4 linked regions of the Arabidopsis thaliana genome follow. The protein of the gene in region 1 purifies or fractionates together with the protein of each later gene. This does not show direct contact. Each region holds a gene or a part of one and is shown on either strand. Other genes may lie near its edges. The genes, in order: GAMMA CA1, AT4G32470, AT5G40810 and AAC3.

Region 1 (5,356 bases):
ATGAAAATCGCTGGTCATCCACAATAAAATCCGATTACCTTACGACTGCTGACGGTGCGACTATAACTGCCTTCTCCCAGGAACATTCTTGGAAAATCTCACCCAACCCTACATTCACCCGCCCAAGAACATTGTATCGCAGAACGATATGGTTGATTTGTGGGATGTAAAGATCGGTAAGACTCTCGAGTCTCGACAAGACTTATGTTTCTGAGGAAGAACTCCTCAAAACCATCAAAGGTGATCAGTTAAACCATAAAAACAGTTTCTGATATCCAATATTCATCAGTCCAAACTCCAAAGTATTAAACGAGTCACTTGCATTTGCAGAGACCCAGCCTCCAATGGATTTTTTTGTGGGTTTGATCCATACGGTCCTTGCGAAGAGCGACTTTACCTCCTTGACTATAGATCCTTCTTTTGGAGTTAAGACTTCTGAGCTTTATCCTGAGGTCAAGTACACAAGTACTGTCGATGAGTTTCTTAAATAATTTGTCTGAAAAAACCCTTGTCCCTTATGTTACGTGTAGCCAGTGTTTATCCGAGTTTCGATATGGAGGCAAATCTTATTTCAAAATAGGCTTCTTATTTGATTGATACAGTACATTACATAAAAAGGTCCAAGTACATTATTTGACTGATATAAGAGAGAGACCTTGAACAACATTACCACACCAACGATCTCATAACGGTGCATAGTTTCAAGGGTTAACCTTGGGAGCCCATCCAGAGATCACATACTTTTCCTCGGTCTTAGTTTTCTCAAAAGAGTCGAGCGAGAACAGAGTCTTCATGTAGTTATGGACATGGGGAAAGCTCTCAGGGACAGACCAGCTTTTGAAATGGCCAAGAGCAACTTGAAGGTGGTAAAGCTTTGGTGCTAAGCTTAGATCCACTGCGGAAACTCTTTCTCCGGCGATAAAAGGGCCATCGTGACTCTTAAGATGGTTTTCCAAAGCTTCTAGCTCAACAAGCAAGGCATGTTCAGATCCGTCATTGGAGTCTTTGCTCTTCAAGAATGTCCCAAAAGTACCAAAAATGTTGGATCCAACAGAGGCAAATTCAGCAGGAGTCTTGAGTGGTGGATCAGGATACTTCTCCTCGAGTATACCAACGATGACGTCGGAATCAGTCACCCACTTGTCGTCGATCTTAAGCACTGGTACTTTCCCTTGAGGACTAATGTCCAAGAACCTGCATCATATATAAAACCAAAGCCACCAATTTCAAGTTCCGGTTAACACAATGCTCGCACATGAAGCCAATCCAATTTCCGGTTAACACAAAGCTCGTACCAGTTACAAGTAAAATTTCAGAGATTATGGCTAAACAAGTTCAAACTAGACCGATCTTAAGGGTTTAGGCGTGAGAGAAACTGACCACTGGGGTTTGTCAGAGAGGTTAATCAGATGGATTTTGTAGGTAAGACTCTTCTCCTCGAGTGTGAGAAGAGCCCGTTGGCTGAACGGACCTAAAACGACAAACAAACACTTAAATTAGTAAATTTACCAACGATCAAAGCTCAGAAATTAAGAATTGCAAAATCAAAAGCTTAATGCAAAACAAAAACAGAGAGAGAAAGAGAAGATGGTTACAGTCGCCGAGATGATCAGGAGCACCAACAGCAGCTTTCACACAGATTTCCAGAGCCATCTTGATTCTTCTTCCTTTGTTTGCAGAGACGGATGAATGATTGAGTTAATCAGTGAGAAGGCTTAGCTTTTAAACTGAATTATTACCATTCTCCACCCACCAGTGGGCCATTTTTACCCGATGTTTATCTTTTCTCACGTGTTATGCGTTGCAAGTGACGACGATACGAAACGACATTGTTACTGATAGGGCCATTTGATTTTTGGTCGGCAGGTTTTGGACCGTTCAATTTAGTGAAAATATAGTAATAAATTCGTACCGAATAATATAATCGGTTTAATGAAACTACTACCTGAAATATCGAATTAGATTTGGTTCATATTTCGTATTGTTTTGGTTCGATTAAACCATATTAAACCACTGTAACTGTAATTTATTGTTTCGCCGTCCCGGAATGTTCCTGTTGAAATCCATTTTCGCTGATTTTTTTTCTTCCGTCTCTTCTTCAGCTTCGACCATTTTCGTCTTCTTCATTCAGTGTTGAGTCCTCGTTTACCTGTGAGCTCGAAGAAAGTGACGATCAATGGGAACCCTAGGCAGAGCATTTTACTCGGTCGGTTTTTGGATCCGTGAGACTGGTCAAGCTCTTGATCGCCTCGGTTGTCGCCTTCAAGGCAAAAATTACTTCCGAGAACAACGTAAGATTCTGCGTAACTCTATTTTTCACTCCGATTTCGAATTCGTAAAGAGTGAGGAGTTTCGATTGGGTAATTCAGCTCACCTATTCTGGTTAGGTTAGAGATCTGGAATTGATGTCTTTGTAGGTATAGCGATTCTGGATTCGAATGGCACAAGGGATTAATTGATGTGGAATGTGTTTTGCTGCTTAGTTTTTTTTTTGTTTCCTGGTCACGAAATTTGCTTATATGTAATTGTGGTTTTCTCTGTGTAGTGTCAAGGCATCGGACACTGATGAATGTATTTGATAAGGCTCCGATTGTGGACAAGGAAGCTTTTGTGGCACCAAGCGCCTCAGTTATTGGGGACGTTCACATTGGAAGAGGATCGTCCATTTGGTATGGATGCGTATTACGAGGTGAGCTAGCTACTAAGCCTCAATGTTTGGTGTTTGGTGGTTGACTATTTTAGTGACTGAAGTTTTGTTTGAAATAGTATCTACTTCTGTATCCTTAGCTGTGTCAACTCTTACGATAGAAAATAGTGAACGAATATCTGTTTTTTACTCTTCTGGTTAAGCGATGAACAAGACTACTACTCAAAATGGAGCTTTCTAGCTTTATTGAAGGATCTTAAACAGATCATTACTACATATCGTATCTTGATGATACTGGCAGTTGCTCTAATGGGTGATTGGGTATATGATATCCCCAATCATATACAGAATGCTTTCATGTCATAACACCAGAATTAGTTGAACGATATCATATACAGATTATTGAGTTTGAGTTGAATCCTTATTGCGAGTATGAGTTGGCTAGTCTGGATTTTTATTTAATGGTGATGAAATAGGGTTGTCCTTTTTACAGAATGCTTTCATGTCATAACACATTGGTACTGTATGGCTAAGCCTGTTAGTACTTTACCAGGAAACTGGGATAACATACAATCTAAACTTGCTTTCTCTCTTTTTTTCTGCGCAGGCGATGTGAACACCGTAAGTGTTGGGTCAGGAACTAATATTCAGGACAACTCACTTGTGCATGTGGCAAAATCAAACTTAAGCGGGAAGGTGCACCCAACCATAATTGGAGACAATGTAACCATTGGTTAGTGGGAATCTCTTACTCACTGTTTATTTTGAAAATGTTTAATATGCATACATCTCCAAGAAGCATTTGGGATATAGTCTTAAATTAAATGTGTAACAGGTCATAGTGCTGTTTTACATGGATGTACTGTTGAGGATGAGACCTTTATTGGGATGGGTGCGACACTTCTTGATGGGGTCGTTGTTGAAAAGCATGGGATGGTTGCTGCTGGTGCACTTGTACGACAAAACACCAGAATTCCTTCTGGAGAGGTATGATTTTGGGTTTAACATTTCTGATTACCTGAAAACCCACAAGTAACCATTGGTGCGGGTATACTTCTATTGCTACTTAGACAGCATAGGCTATATTATTGACATTATTAGTGTCTTTCTTTCATTGGCTGAAAGTATTGGAGGTTGGTGTGAAATTGAAATACAGTTTCTAGTCTTGAGAATTCTTCTCCTCTATCTGGATAGAACGTATCTTATCCACTTTTCAGATGCCCTAACAGATTATAAATGTTAGTTAGATGAAAGTGGAAATGTTCTTCTAGCTATGGTTTATCTGCATATGAATGCCAAAGGGTGTTAGTCTCTCATCATGGCCTTAAAATTTACTTCATCCGCCATATTGACTGACAGAGTTAAAATGTTCGCATTGGTCTATAATGACTCAGGTATGGGGAGGAAACCCAGCAAGGTTCCTCAGGAAGCTCACTGATGAGGAAATTGCTTTTATCTCTCAGTCAGCAACAAACTACTCAAACCTCGCACAGGCTCACGCTGCAGAGAATGCAAAGCCATTAAATGTGATTGAGTTCGAGAAGGTTCTACGCAAGAAGCATGCTCTAAAGGACGAGGAGTATGACTCAATGCTCGGAATAGTGAGAGAAACTCCACCAGAGCTTAACCTCCCTAACAACATACTGCCTGATAAAGAAACCAAGCGTCCTTCTAATGTGAACTGATTTTTCAGGGGTATGTTTTCTGGCCGAAGCCCTACAGGGTGAGATACTCAAGGGGATTATGTTTCGGTCTCTGGTTTGAATATGGCAGGTAGAGTACATTAGGGTAGACGGATTTACAGCTTTTGAAGAAGCTATGTTCAACATTTTTTCATGGTTTCTTAGGGAGTATTATTGTCTAATCAAACTTTGTATGTTATCACTTCGGTCTTTTGAACGTAAGAATCAAGTTCATGAAACATGAGTGAATATTAGTCTGATGCATGTGCGTATGCAAAAATCCATGTGCGCCTATGTTGCTAGGCAAGCATGAAGAATAAAGATCCAAACTGGATATATCATATATTTATCTTTTTATAATTACTGCAAATTATTAGTGGGGTTGATGGTATTGGTACCGTGAATTACGCTTGCTTGGTCGTCTTTTTATTTTTTTGATAAAATCAAATCTTGTATCGTGTATCTATTATTATGATTCGTCTCCTTCCTTTTGTCAAAGGCCGTTTCTTTTCTTGAGATTTATCTTTTGTTTTCTAGCTTTCTGGCTGTCGTTCTTTTAGGATTCAAGTATTCAACCATTTGTTACAATAATACTAATAATTGGATTTCTCCCTTGTCACTTTGTAGATCTCAACTAATGGGCCATTTTTTCTCTCAATTTGAACCACGAGACATGGTGTTGGAAATTTGAAACGGTAGATTGTGTAAAATGTTCACCAACTTAGACATCGCAAGCCTTATAAAACTTACGGTAAACAGATCAAAAATCCTTACAAACAATGACCAAAGAAACAGTACGATTTTGCAAGCTGACGGAATTTACAAATTGCACTAATCTATATCATAGTTTCATGTAACAACAACAATGTTTTTAGAGTTTATAATAAGAAAAATTTTAATTGATGTAACAAAAAAAAATATGTAGTGTGGGAAACTTTAAAACATATCAGTGAGTTTAGATAAAAATTTGAAAGTTTTAACTACAATTACTAAATGACCCACGTAATAGCGAGTCGTAAATCTACAA
Region 2 (4,562 bases), on another chromosome or scaffold:
AAACATTTAGTTCTTGAATTTAAGAGCTTTATTCAGGAAGAAGAGTGGGATAAGAAGGAATCAATATGGAATACTTTTTTTTCATAAATTCGTTTGTCTCCCAGCATTTAGACTGATGGGATATTCCCATCCTAAAAATAAGAATCTAAAACATTGTATCCTAAATATCTATCTGTAGACACTTTATTGTGTTTTTATAAAGCAACAATAATCAAATCAAAGTTCACAATCAATCTAATGTCCAAGCAAAAACAATTAAAGTGCTACTAAAGTTCCATTTCTTAATGATCTACAAAGTGTTGTTTATCTAATAAATTAAGGCAATTTGCATTCATCATATAAATTAAATACAACTTTTCAGTGTAATATATATGGACCTCACTATCAAACACTTATGAAATATTGGAATGTTGTGTAAAAGTGTAAAAATCAAATCTTAAATAAAGATAACTACTATCAATATGACAACAATTTGTGACAGTACAAAATTTAAACTAAACTATAATTTCCATTTTAAAAAAAAAATTGAGACGGCCAAAAAGGGCCAATTAAAAAGAAGGCAAACGTGATATTAATTAGTTACTGAATAATTAACTGCCATTGAGGCCAAAACCATGTGCTATGAAAGCTGTTTATCAGCGAATTATAACATTTTGTGTAAAAGAAAGACCAAGTCTACACAATTTTTAAAACATTTCAGTCCAGTAAAGTTAATCATCAGTTCATCACTCCAAATTTTATAACTTATATACGCATTTGCTTGAATAATTCTGCCATACAATATAATTTTATGTGATTTGATAAATATATATCTAATTAAATTAACGTGAGCTTAGCAGAGAGAGTATTATGTGCTAAGCTAAAACCGGTTTATACTGTTCAAAACATCAAATATTGAGACAAGCTCATATAGTCACTATACATGCCCACATGCATTAACCACTCAGTCAGACGAGTTATATATGGTTGTCTTTTGAAACAAACAAAACAAACTTTTACAATTCATAGTTGTGCGTTATTATCGGAACACAATTATTTGGAAAACAAAAATTATGAACTCATGAAGCTAAATGGGACTGAACTTTAGGCCTACTTCATATTTTACGATAAGGATGATGACGACGACTTCGTGGCTAAAAAATAGCAATTAGGATATGGGTCGTGATCAAAAATCCCACCAAACTAAAAATATATCAAACTAAATCAAGTACCTACTACATGCATGATTATCTCTTTAACCTAACCTTAATTAAAGTTAGTTTAGATATTGACAAGAAACTGTTTAAAATGCTTTGCTAAGAAAGTGGGAACACAAGATTTGAGAGTATTTTTGTTAAAGTCACAACATTTTAACCTTAAATTACACTTGCAACTTGAGACGATACTTAATCACTTTTTAAGTTAATTTAATCATAAGCAGACAAAAACATGCCTTTCAACTCTCAAGTAGTGGTGTTAGCCGGAATCCAATTCGTCTAGAGTAAAGAATGAAGATACAATTATAATTGTTTAACTTACCTCATCTATATAACAAGATTATCATTTCTCATTCCAGCTATTAAATTAAACCCTCTTTTTTCACAACTGGTATATCAATTTTGTGATTAATCTAGTTACCATTCATACAACTAGCTTTGCCTATACATAACATTCACATGAGTTTAGTGGATTTTACAACTTAAATTTCCCCCATTTTTTTTTTTTAAGTAGGATCGAATAAGAGTTAAATGCATGTATTTGTGAAACACGAAACAAAAGGGTCACTAAAAATTTGCACCAGCCGGGAATCGAACCCGGGTCTGTACCGTGGCAGGGTACTATTCTACCACTAGACCACTGGTGCTTCTTGTGAATTATTAAGACAAGTTAGTTTATAATCTAAATACAAGTTATCACTGGGCCTTAAATGACGCTACAGCTGAGCGACTTAAGGCCCAAATATTACTACGTGAGTACGTGACCTATATATGTCAAAAATACGTGAAGCTTAGATGGGCCACTTAAGGCCCAAATAAATACGTGAAGCAGAGCTTATGTGATTATTTCCTCTCTCAGGTCAGGAGTTGTTGTAGACACAGCAGCTTGGTCTCTTTCATTGGCACAAAGAGAGAAAATCTGAAATTGAGAGAGACAGAGAAAAATGGCGTCGCTTCTGAAAGCATTCATCGATCCAAAGAAGAACTTCCTCGCTCGTATGCATATGAAAGCCATATCTACTCGCCTTCGCAGATACGGTCAGATCTCTCTCGATCCATAACCCTAATTTCTGAAATCCGAGTTTGTTGTCAATGTTCATGAGTGAATCTGAATCTGCTTTGTTTTGTTTGGTTTGAATGATTAATTAGGTCTGAGGTACGATGATCTGTACGATCAGTATTACAGTATGGACATCAAAGAGGCTATGAACAGATTGCCCAGGGAGGTCGTTGATGCTCGTAACCAGCGTCTCAAGCGTGCCATGGACCTCTCCATGAAGCACGAGTACCTCCCCAAGGATCTTCAGGTATAATTCTTCATTCTCTATTTCTTTGGATGAAATTGATGTTGTTAGAATCAATCTAGAATATGGATAGGTAACCCAGGCATTTGAGCTCGAATATTGATTAAATGCTAGAAAAATGAAGAAATTAAGATATCAAATTGAAATCGAAACTAGTTCATCAGAAGATATTACTTTACTTTGGGGATTTTGTGATTGTGGAGCTTAGATGTATATAAACTAGTTTATGCATAGTCTATGCTTGTCTCTTGCGTTACTGTGTTTGTTCTGCTGTTGCTTGAGATTATTGGAAATTTTGGATTGATGAAAGGTTGAATCCTTGTTACATCTTTTTTTTTCCCTTTCAATAAAGTAAAGTGGTGTTTGCATGTATACTATTGTATTACTCTATGGTTTAGACTTTTCGATTTTTGTTACTTTCTTATTTGATGTTGTTATTAGATAAGAATGTAACTGTTATTATTGCTGGCTTAATTAAGCTATCAAAAGTTCACAACTTTAAAAGTATAAGGCTCTTTTAGTTTTCCAAAATTGATTAAGCTATCAGAAATTGCAACTGTTAGGTAGTGTTGTGGATATTGTAACTTTCTTATTTGATGTGGTTATTTCATATACAGGCGGTGCAGACCCCATTCCGTGGCTATCTTCAGGACATGCTTGCTCTTGTAAGTCTCCTTTTTGATGAACTAACATAGAAATCATTATCTGCGTCTAGGGTAGGAACAATCAAACTGCAATTCAGTGTCATAAAAGCGTACTATTCCTTCTTGAAGTAAAGTTTCCTCTTTCTTTTGGGCCTATCTGCTTCCCTGCATTGACAATGATGAAAACTTTGATGAGATGCATGTCTTTTCCTTCGTTATTTGAAGCAATATGTTTTTTTCAGATCTTCAATTTCCCTATTTCATGAAGTATTGCATCATAAAGAAAATGTTTGCAATGTTTGAAAAGTTCTGAGTGTAACTTTTCTGTAAGGATAGCCCATCATCGTTGTCATCATCCCTGTCTTTATGTTGTGATTTGCAGGTTGAGAGGGAAAGCAAGGAACGAGAGGCCTTGGGAGCTCTACCACTATACCAGCGCACACTCCCATAAGCATTCCTTTCCCCTTTTCTTGTGGTCAACGCTGCTTCTCTGCATAAATCTGCAACATTGATATTTTGGTGCTCACTTTCTGAACAGAGCTATTTACTATTTGAAAAAGCATAAATCTGTGATAGTTTTCCTAAGTGGATATGTTGCTAGTTACATTTTTATCGCTTTTGCTGGCTTGAATAAAATCGACGACGCAACTCAAGTCTGTCTCGATGATTTATCATTTTCGAGGTCTGGTTTGCTCTTTTATTCTTATAATTGGTCTCTCAGAATCGTTTAAGTTTTATGCATTGAAATGTAGAAGTGCCATGATTCCATATTCTTGGGAATTTGGTCGAGCCATGTTGATGTATCCTTTGCATTGACAGTTTCATGTGAGAAATTAATGGGAGAGAATTATGAGTTTATTAGGCACCGATAAAGCCAGTCGTTGAACTGTCCAAGTCTATGGTATGGGACTATGGGTGTGTGTTTTCTTTTTGTCTCTTAGTTCACTGAGTTAAAAAGATAGGAAGGAATCATCCGTACTATTATTATATGATCGGCCTTGGCAACCGAAAATTCTTACGTTGAGTTCAAACATAATCGACGAATACACAAAAAATCTACTTGTGGAGGAGATAAACCGGCAAGTGTAAGAAGATGGAAAGAGATCCTTTGGGCATATCGGGGAAATGAAACTTGGATTTCAAAAACTAACTTATTATAACTTATCGGACAGGGTGTAAAATCATTCATTCATAAGATAGAGAGACCCATGTTATGTATATAAATATTTCATATCCAGAAAAGAGCATTTGCATGTGAGTGTGTAGACTGAAACTCAAGCCTTTAATAGATTCAGGCCAGATCTATTCTTTTAGTTACCCATCTTCCTCTCTGTCCCCTCTCTCTCTCATCCTTTTCTTTTGCTCACTTTCGTTTAGCCAACCACAAATGTTAGAAATATGGATTTGAATTTAGAGAT
Region 3 (5,397 bases), on another chromosome or scaffold:
GATTCTTTTCACTTGTCATAAAACCCAATAAAAATCATATTTATTATTTTATTATTATTTAAGTTCGTTTCTTAACATAATACATTACCACTATCTAATACCTCATATAAAATTAGATTTAAAATCCTATAAACACACACTAAATTCTGAAAGAAATAATGTTAGGTTGTTTAATTTCTTTTTTTTGTTTGTCAAATCAGATATATTGATATAAAACAAGGTTACAAAATATATAAACATTATAATACAATTATTATACGCAAATACAAAAATTTGATACAATTTTGATAAAGGAGTGAAAGTAACCCGACATTACAAGCAAATAGGCGTTGGTCATGATACATAAATATTTTTTAATTATAAGAAAATTACTATTATTTTAAAATCACAAATTTTAAACTGTATATTTTCTTAATTAGGCACTGATGAACAATTCGTGATACAATGTGGAAACATGTCTCAAATCGAAACCCTTATTTGATATGTTATTAAGATACCTGCTGGGGAGGTGCCTCATCCCAAAATAAACTAAATTAATTAACATTCATTTAGGTAGAAAAATTACTATAATGACATACTTAATCATATAATTATACTTTTCCTTCATACCACCAATAAAAGCAGATCGCTATCTAGCTCTTAGACAAGATAATAGCATAGCTTTTAATTTTGATAAAGCTGAATGGTCCTTGTAGATAAAGTTAAGAGAAGAATATGTTTTTTTTTTTACAAAGGCTTGTTTTCATTCATTCACATAAAAACAAGTACAAGAAGGAGTGATTCAAAGATCACAAAGTTTAAAACATAATTAAAGGAGGTATTCCCCAAAGCCAAAACATAATAGAGGCATTTCTCTAAGACACGAAAGGAAATGCATAGCATTCAAACCGACTCATATTAAATCATCTCTCATAAATGAAAAACTACTTCCACTTGAGACACTAAAGGACTCACCAATCAACATATTAAGAAAGTTACTGTTTCGTGGCTTGAAAATATGTAGAAAAGCTTCCAGGACGATGTCTCATTCATTAATTTTCTGATGATTCCAAATTCGTTTTCCGAACCACAACTTATGATTGCAAAAACCTAATGATTCGGCTTGAGTTGAGTCATGATGAGAATTTCTCCTGCTTAATTAAAATTCTGTTTTTAGGTATAAGAGATTCTATTCAGCAAAGATATTCAAGATGAGTAACAGATATTAAACATACCATGAACATTCACAAACCTGTGGGAATTAATATATGAACTTACCTAGCAAAAGCGAACATGTAATTTCTCATTTACATTTTCCCGTACTATGTAAAATTGAAACACATTTTCAAGTTTAAGGAAGATTATAATTTTGGAGTCGATGTAGTATCCCGAGAGCATACGAAACATATGTTGTATTTTCAAATTTGCGCCTCTCGATATTGAACTACAATAATGCATGTTAGATTCAAAGCAGCCTCGCTTTGGACCCTATAAAATGAGTTAATGCAAGCCATAATAATTTATCGATCGACATATTTACTAAACAAGCCAGAATGTGATCTCGATCTCAGCCTGTGTTAATCTTTTTGTAATTGAACATTCTGGACTAATGAACTCTTCACTATTGAAAAAAACAACAACACATAGATCATTTACACAAAGTCTCCCTTTACTAAATTTCAAGATTTGGTCCATTTATTCCAATGAGAAATATTCCAGATATTTTTTTTGGCTGTTGACTGTACGGATAGGCCCTTAATGGGCTTTTAATGGATTAAATTAGGCCCATGATACTTGAAAAATCTGAAAGGTGTTGTTGTGTTGTGTGTGACAGTCCAGTCGCGTCATCCGGAGACATCCATTTTCTCTGGTAGCTGTTTACTTCTTCTTCTTCTTCTTCTTCTTCTTCCTCCTCCTCTGTTCGTCAATCGCCGATCTCGTTGCTTCATTTTCCTGTGAGTATTTTCTCGATTCGACACATCTCATATCCGAATCTGCCATTTCTTCATTCAATTTTGTTTATTTGTTGGAACTTCGGATCTATATAGAGAATCGAGTTTTCTAGGGCTTACTCATTGTTTCGGGTATATGTAATGGCTGAGAATCTTCTCTGTTTGTATCAGTGAGATCGATTGGTACAAGTGTTCATCCAATGGTTGGAGGAGGAGTTATCCGGCAGCTTCTTAGAAGGAAACTTCATTCCCAATCAGTCGTGAGCTTTTTCCCTGTTACATCTTTTTGATTTTCTGCTGTAGCTTAGGATCTGTTTGAAGATAGAATCATATGATTTGTTTTGGTTCTGTCTACACCTTCATTGCTCTGAGAGATTGTCCTTGAAGAATTGTAACTGGAATTGTTGTGGCGTTGGAGATTTTGGGATATAAGAAACTTAGACTTATTGATTTGTGCTTCGAGAGTATGATTAATATTCGATTTCTTTTCAGAAAAAGTAGTCTTTTGATTTGTTGAGCATACACCTTCTTGTGTCTTGGCCTTTTTTTTTGTTTTCTTACTGTTGTTCTGTATTATCTACCACCATAGGCAACTCCGGTATTGTCATGGTTGTCTTCGAAGAAAGCGAATGAAGATGCTGGGTCTGCTGGTTTAAGAGCATTTGCTCTCATGGGTGCTGGTATTACCGGATTATTGAGTTTTTCTACTGTTGCATCTGCTGATGAGGCTGAACATGGTCTGGAGTGTCCTAACTACCCTTGGCCACATGAGGGCATTCTCAGCTCATATGACCATGCTTCGTGAGTGTTCAAGCTACAATTCAATCATCATAGTGAAATTGCAACACTAAAGTTGAAAATTAGAGAAATTTGAGACTGCTTTACTGACGGTTGATTTGTAATGAGCAGGATCCGTCGTGGTCACCAAGTTTATCAGCAAGTTTGTGCGTCTTGCCATTCGATGTCTCTGATCTCATACCGAGACTTGGTGGGTGTTGCCTACACAGAGGAAGAGGCGAAGGCCATGGCAGCTGAAATCGAGGTTGTTGATGGACCAAATGATGAGGGTGAGATGTTCACCCGACCTGGTAAACTCAGTGATCGGCTTCCTGAACCATACTCAAATGAATCGGCTGCTAGGTTCGCCAATGGAGGAGCGTATCCACCGGATCTAAGTCTTGTAACTAAGGTTTGGTGCTCTTTCTCTCCATTTGTATACAATTAGAAAATTCATCTACTATGATCTAAGCAATTTGGCTATTTTCTTCCAGGCACGTCACAATGGCCAAAATTATGTCTTTGCTCTGTTGACTGGTTATCGTGATCCTCCTGCTGGAATTTCGGTAAATTTCTCTCCTATTTTTGCTTTAGACTTGTTATTACAACTTCAAATTGTTGGAAGTTAGAAATAATCCTGTGACTAACGGGTACAGATCAGAGAGGGGCTACACTACAATCCTTATTTCCCTGGTGGAGCAATCGCTATGCCAAAAATGCTCAACGATGAAGCTGTGGAATATGAAGATGGAACTCCTGCAACAGAAGCACAGGTTAGTTTTCCTCTGCTTAAGAAAATAATTTGCAGACCATAAAGTTTTATCAGATTTGACCTTTCCTCTGAGTCAATTATATAATCTTTAATTTTTCTTTTTTTAAAAAACATGATGCAGATGGGTAAAGATGTTGTATCCTTCTTGTCCTGGGCAGCTGAACCAGAGATGGAAGAGAGGAAATTGGTAAGTTTCTTAGTTTCATATATTCCATGTTTTAAGCTGTCGTTTCCATATGTACGAGATTGCAATAGGAATATCAATCTGGATTCTGATTATTTGATTTTCAGATTCAGTTTGAGAAAATTGTTACCAAACTTAAACCGGCATAGTATAGATTGGTTTTGGATGTAGAAAAAGTATCGCCATTTTATCCGTGTTAAGATTTCCTTGGTTCTGTCTTCTGTATAGCGGGATGAACACACCTAGTTGCATAGTTGTGTTGAACACACCTAGTTGCATAGTTGTGTTGACCACACTACTGCTTGTTTCTTGAGGCTGCTAATCTCAGACCAAAACTATTATCAAACATGAACCGTATTGTTACTCTGTATTCAAAACCGTCATGTTGGTTCTAAACCGACCCAAAAAAACCCGCTATACCGAGAATCCAACTCTTTGTGCTTAGATATCTGTTAACGTTGGTTGTATGTGTGTGCAGATGGGGTTCAAATGGATATTCTTACTGTCTTTGGCTCTGCTTCAAGCTGCGTATTACAGGAGACTGAAATGGTCAGTACTCAAATCCCGTAAGCTTGTTCTCGACGTTGTTAACTAATCCCGTGAAGATCACCTTTTCTCTGGGTAATAATCATTAATCTTGAAAGGGATAAATGGTGAATCCCACTTTTTGTCTCAAAAGACATGTTTCTTTGTTTATTGTTTAGAAAGTCTAATGAGGCAAAGAAGTAAAGCTTTTTTAACCTCAAGTCACACATGATTTTGAGATTATATTATTTCTTTTTGGTTTGTTGTCTCCTAAACCGGACTCGGTTTGTCTTAATAAAAATGTGGTTTTACAATCTCTCTCCTATTTGTATATCACAAAACATGATTTTGTAACTATTAAAGTTAAAAAGTTAAAATCTGTGGTCTATTTCTGATAGACCAAAACTCCACAGAACAACCAATTTACCTCTGTTGCGAACTCGATTTTGTAAAACTTAGAAAAATGTAGGCAGGATTTAGACCCGTTAATGTAAAACCAGTTCCGTTAAGACATTACCAAACAAAATTGCACAATCCTACAGACAATGAAACAAACATGCAGGATCGGACAAAACCTCAAAATACAAGTCCACACTTTTAATTGTCCCTTGGAATCAATATTTATAAAAATGTAATGAGCTCAAATTTTTATAACCTATGAAAAGATCAAAATCTTGATTAAAAAGAAGAAAAAAACCAATCAAATCCTGGCAGGCTTCTGCAGAACAGCCGAGAGAAAAACCTCAGCATCAGTTTTCTCTCCAACAACCCATTTCAACTTCTTATACCCAAACCTCTCTATCAAACGCGTAAGAACTCTCTTCTTCTCATCATTACCGCAATAGAAATTGTCTAACTAGAACAATCCACCGGGTTTCAAGATCCGATCAAGATCAAACATCAAGAACTCTAGCTTCTCGGGTTTACTACTAACCGCTAAATCCAATCCGTTAGAAGCATGAATGAGATCAAAAACATTGTCATAGAACGGGAATCTCTAATCCAAACTCCCTCTGAACAACGGAAAAATCCCTCTTGTAGCTATGAATTCGCTGAAAGGAGCATCTATATTTAATGTAATACCGATAATATTCAGATTCTTTTCAGCCATTCTAGCAGCAAACGTGCCTGATCCGCTGCTAATATCGAATCCGATTCGGATTTTCCCATCGCCTAAACCCAAACATCATCTATCAGGAAATCAGTCT
Region 4 (4,477 bases), on another chromosome or scaffold:
GGTAACTTGGTATATGGAAATTATGTAACATTGTATTATAGCTGATCGATTGAAATAATCGTGGCTTTGAAAGTGTTGGATCTACTCTGCTGAAGTCACTGGATGTATTTAATTAGGTTGTTGCCATTTACTCATCTGTTAAAAAACAAAATTTTAAACCACGTTCCTCTTTGTAAAAAGCTAAAAGCCTCGTTATGTTATCCGTTTGGCTATGTAATTATAAGTGTAGAAATGTCACGAGAGCCAGAAGTTTTGTCCTTAAGTTTTGATTCTTAATGGACAATTTTGGCATTTTTTGCTTCCCGTAATAATGGTTATTGTAAAAACTAAGAAATAGAAGAGAAGCCATATCTGATGAATATACATATATATAATCGCTTACAGAAAATTCTTCGTACTTTTGTAACACTAGTCACTATTACATCTACAATAAACTCGATTATATATCATTTGTAACTATATAGAACTGTTACAAGGCTTCCCTTCCCAATATTCATAGATATATATCCTGGTAGTTAATTTAATTTCTCAACGTCGGGATTCTTGGTGTTTCTGAACCTGTAATGACAAAATTATACCAGTTCATTAGTTCCTTTATGCACAAGGAAAAATGTAATATATAACATTTTCTTCTAGGAAAAGATTTTTAAAAAACTATGGAGAGAAGAATGAAAATAACTGAGAACAGTCCATATCAACGGAGATGGGAAAGCTGAGAGTAAGAGAACAACGGAGAGGAAGGTTATTAATAGCGGCGGGAAGAAAAGGAAGATGATTTGCATTTCCCATTATCTCAATGCACAGACACACTCTCTCTGTTTCTCCACTATCCTGCCTATTCCTCGATCCCTGCGTAGTTAATATAATTATAGATGGTGAAAGAAGAAACCGAAATAGAAGAATCGAGAATTAAGTCTAGTAACTGGAGACGTAAACTTGACGACGTTGTTCAAGTGGGTCACGCCTCTGCAGCAATCTGGAGAAGGTTGTTGAAATATTCCCTCGACGAAGCCCATGCAGGGCATGAAACTCACGAACACGTCTCTGCAATGTTCCAGCGGATTATTGTCCTGGGAAACGGCGGTCTTCATCAGGACCAAGAACGCTACTACCAATATGGCATGTATCTTCATTGAACTCAGTACACTAGCTAGCGAAGGTGATATATATGATTCGTGTACGAAGAGAAATCTATATCTATATATTATATATATAGTAATCAATTCGTTTCTAAGGTGGAGTTTATTATGCATGGCTTAGTTTAATGAACACATGTAGTTCTCATGTTTCCTTCTTACTCGGATGAATTCCAGCTGAGTTCTCTTTTAGTTTTCTTGAATCTTTTGAAATAATCTACCTACACATATTAAGGTTATTGCATGTAATTCGAGTTTATTTTATATCGCATGACATGTATGATGTGTCTTGTTATCTAATACATGAGCCGATATCATTGCCTATATTCTGGTACTCTCAATACGTATCGGTTTGTTTCATTGTTTGTAGAACATTTCTCTAACTAGTTTTGGATCACTAAATTCGAACCACATCACCTTCCTTGCATCTGTAAAGTTCTGTCCGGCTGAAGAAGAAAAAAAAGATTCAACTTTCTTTCTTGCTTCTTAAGTAACATCCAATTTTTTAAGACCTAGTTAACAAGCCTCTATTATATTTTTCCGGCAAACCAAAAAAGTCTTGATTATTGTTCTATTTTTCTATATTTAATTTTCAGGTAGATGAGACATATATCACATAATGATAAAGAGGTCTCTCACTTTCATTAGGTATGAATTTTATCTTCCTAGGAAAATAAATTTTGGGTCCATTTAGAAGAAGTCAAGACTCGGGTCCCTTAAAATTGGGCCCAGAAAGAAACGGGTCAAAGGAGTCCAGTAGCATTTTCGTAATTGTACCTTCTCTTCTGCTCAGTTTCGTCTTTTAGTTTAGGACCAGAAGTCGAGAATCATGTAGAAACCTACTCTTCTCGCAATTTTCCACAGCTCTCTCTCTCTCTCTCGTTAACGCTTCGGCGAAAAATCCACGGTAAGCTCTCGACTCCAGAAGTTCTAGCTTTATCATTAATGCTTCTCTCCTAGCTCTCTCTGTTTTTTTGTTCTGCTTCTCGTGAATTCTGTTTTCTCGACGCCACTCGTTGCTTGATCTTTTAGAAACAGAGGATTTAATTGAGCTGCTGCAACTAGGTTTTAATTTGTGCTAATTAGGTCGCATTATAGTTGACAGATTGAAATGGTGTCTTTAACGAAGCTAACTAGGATCGTATGAAATGTGTTGATGATGTCTTCTCTGTTTTTGTTCCAGTTTTGGTTATGATCATTCTTTTTTAAGCATGCAAATATAGAAATTTTCGAGAAAGCAAGATTTTGTGGTGTTTAATTTGTATTTTTGTTTTGTTTTGTTTTGTTTTGTTTTTCAGAGTCAGCTTTTACTGATTTGTACAAAAAATGGATGGATCAAAGCATCCATCAGTCTTTCAGAAGCTACATGGACAATCTTACTTGATCAATAGACTTTCTCCGAGTGTGCAAGCTCGTGGTTACTGTGTCTCTGGTGCTTATGTCAATGGAGGTTTGCAGAGTCTATTGCAGCCAACTAGCCATGGCGTTGGCTCGTCTCTTATACCTCATGGTTCATTTCCTGTATTAGCTCACGCTCCTAGTGAGAAAACTGGTACTGGTTTCTTGATCGATTTCCTTATGGGAGGAGTCTCAGCTGCTGTTTCGAAGACGGCAGCCGCGCCTATAGAGCGTGTGAAGCTCTTGATTCAGAATCAAGATGAAATGATCAAAGCTGGGCGTCTCTCTGAGCCATATAAAGGAATCAGTGATTGTTTTGCTCGAACAGTCAAAGACGAAGGAATGCTTGCTCTTTGGAGAGGAAACACTGCCAATGTTATCAGATACTTCCCCACTCAGGTTTGTTTTCTCTTCTTTGACGTGGTATTTGTATAGACGTCGAGATGGGTATGCTAAGCAAATAGTTTTGTTTTGCAGGCTTTAAACTTTGCGTTCAAAGATTACTTCAAGAGGCTGTTTAACTTCAAGAAAGAAAAAGATGGCTACTGGAAGTGGTTTGCAGGGAACCTGGCGTCTGGTGGTGCAGCTGGTGCATCATCTCTGCTTTTTGTGTACTCTTTGGATTACGCTCGTACCCGTTTAGCCAATGATGCGAAGGCGGCCAAGAAAGGTGGTCAGCGGCAGTTTAATGGCATGGTCGACGTGTACAAGAAGACTATAGCCTCTGATGGCATTGTCGGGCTTTACCGTGGTTTCAACATCTCATGCGTTGGAATTGTCGTGTACCGGGGGCTTTACTTTGGATTGTATGATTCCTTGAAGCCTGTGGTTCTAGTTGATGGTCTCCAGGTAAAAAACAAAGAAAACTCCTCACTTCAACATATTGAGTCCTCTGTTACTGTTTACTCATTGCTATAATCTGTACAGGATAGCTTCCTTGCTAGTTTCTTACTGGGATGGGGAATCACCATTGGAGCTGGATTGGCGTCTTACCCAATTGACACGGTTCGCAGAAGAATGATGATGACGTCAGGTGAAGCAGTGAAGTACAAGAGCTCTCTTCAGGCCTTCTCTCAGATCGTCAAGAACGAAGGGGCCAAGTCACTCTTCAAGGGTGCAGGTGCCAACATCCTTCGTGCGGTTGCAGGCGCTGGTGTACTGGCCGGCTATGACAAGCTCCAGCTCATTGTGTTGGGTAAGAAGTATGGCTCTGGTGGTGGCTAAACGATGAGGATGATGAAAGAATAGCCCTTGAGGTCTGTGAATGAATAAAGCAGTGTGTCCGTTCGTATAAATGTTGCTTTTAGAATATAGAGTGTCTCTGTCAAGTTGTGGCCCTTTGTCTTAGTTCTATACTTCTATGACTTTTGTTGACAAAAGAATAAATACAAAGAAAACCAATACCATGTTTATGTTTTTTGTAGTTAAAACAGTTTTAGTGAATATTATCAGTTAAAAAGTCAACATAAGCTGAGAGATCAAAAGAACTTTAAATGTATGGTTATGCGAAAGTTTGTATAATTCAGATTCGGTTTCCTTGGGTTGTAAGCGAATGAGTGATCTAAGTCCAACACTAAGATTTGGTCTTCAAATGTGTCAGTCTCAAATCCCACTTCAAACCACTCCAGACAGCTACAAGTAAGGAGTTAAGTCCTTTTCCTTGATCTTATACCACTACCTGATTCATCCTCTGTAATCGTTGCACCAAAGACCAAACTTATTGTCTTTATATATAAATCCACCACACTTAAGACAAAGGATCCATAACTTGTCTTTGAATGGCTCTCTCTATAACATTTCCTGTCCTTATCTCAGTTCTTCTTTATCATTTCTCTTTAGTATCAACAGCAAAACATAGCCTTCACCACCACACAAGTCACTCCACAAACCCTAAACAGCATCTTCAGCAAGCGTACCGTGCACTTAAAGCATGGAAGAAGGTA

Evidence for each region.
Region 2: the proteins of GAMMA CA1 (region 1) and AT4G32470 fractionate together in Arabidopsis thaliana (co-fractionation; one large-scale study listed by BioGRID). This does not show direct contact.
Region 3: the proteins of GAMMA CA1 (region 1) and AT5G40810 fractionate together in Arabidopsis thaliana (co-fractionation; one large-scale study listed by BioGRID). This does not show direct contact.
Region 4: the proteins of GAMMA CA1 (region 1) and AAC3 fractionate together in Arabidopsis thaliana (co-fractionation; one large-scale study listed by BioGRID). This does not show direct contact.

Annotation. Positions count from the first base shown.
Region 1 is NC_003070.9:6,772,761-6,778,116, forward strand, and holds GAMMA CA1 (gamma carbonic anhydrase 1), read left to right. Parts: upstream 1-1,922; 5' UTR 1,923-2,176; coding exon 2,177-2,291; intron 2,292-2,545; coding exon 2,546-2,689; intron 2,690-3,254; coding exon 3,255-3,380; intron 3,381-3,482; coding exon 3,483-3,634; intron 3,635-3,803; coding exon of another isoform or gene 3,804-3,885; intron 3,886-4,041; coding exon 4,042-4,332; 3' UTR 4,333-4,808; downstream 4,809-5,356. Other genes in the region: AT1G19565 (uncharacterized protein), read right to left, coding at 119-210, 319-371; DHAR1 (dehydroascorbate reductase), read right to left, coding at 702-1,194, 1,381-1,471, 1,596-1,653. UniProt on the Arabidopsis thaliana protein: Enzyme involved in the catabolism of H(2)CO(3) but that does not mediates the reversible hydration of carbon dioxide. Mediates complex I assembly in mitochondria and respiration.
Region 2 is NC_003075.7:15,668,674-15,673,235, reverse strand, and holds AT4G32470 (Cytochrome bd ubiquinol oxidase, 14kDa subunit), read left to right. Parts: upstream 1-1,986; 5' UTR 1,987-2,140; coding exon 2,141-2,234; intron 2,235-2,345; coding exon 2,346-2,503; intron 2,504-3,117; coding exon 3,118-3,165; intron 3,166-3,215; coding exon of another isoform or gene 3,216-3,216; intron 3,217-3,526; coding exon 3,527-3,595; 3' UTR 3,596-4,017; downstream 4,018-4,562. UniProt on the Arabidopsis thaliana protein: Component of the ubiquinol-cytochrome c oxidoreductase, a multisubunit transmembrane complex that is part of the mitochondrial electron transport chain which drives oxidative phosphorylation.
Region 3 is NC_003076.8:16,338,069-16,343,465, forward strand, and holds AT5G40810 (Cytochrome C1 family), read left to right. Parts: upstream 1-1,794; 5' UTR 1,795-1,934; intron 1,935-2,102; 5' UTR 2,103-2,131; coding exon 2,132-2,191; exon of another isoform or gene 2,192-2,520; coding exon 2,521-2,732; intron 2,733-2,840; coding exon 2,841-3,120; intron 3,121-3,202; coding exon 3,203-3,274; intron 3,275-3,364; coding exon 3,365-3,481; intron 3,482-3,601; coding exon 3,602-3,667; intron 3,668-4,142; coding exon 4,143-4,259; 3' UTR 4,260-4,859; downstream 4,860-5,397. UniProt on the Arabidopsis thaliana protein: Component of the ubiquinol-cytochrome c oxidoreductase, a multisubunit transmembrane complex that is part of the mitochondrial electron transport chain which drives oxidative phosphorylation.
Region 4 is NC_003075.7:14,040,767-14,045,243, reverse strand, and holds AAC3 (ADP/ATP carrier 3), read left to right. Parts: upstream 1-1,896; 5' UTR 1,897-2,043; intron 2,044-2,059; exon of another isoform or gene 2,060-2,201; intron 2,202-2,434; 5' UTR 2,435-2,462; coding exon 2,463-2,933; intron 2,934-3,011; coding exon 3,012-3,383; intron 3,384-3,461; coding exon 3,462-3,758; 3' UTR 3,759-3,956; downstream 3,957-4,477. Other genes in the region: A7 (Bifunctional inhibitor/lipid-transfer protein/seed storage 2S albumin superfamily protein), read right to left, coding at 516-558, 680-849, 924-1,253; AT4G28380 (Leucine-rich repeat (LRR) family protein), read left to right, coding at 4,313-4,477.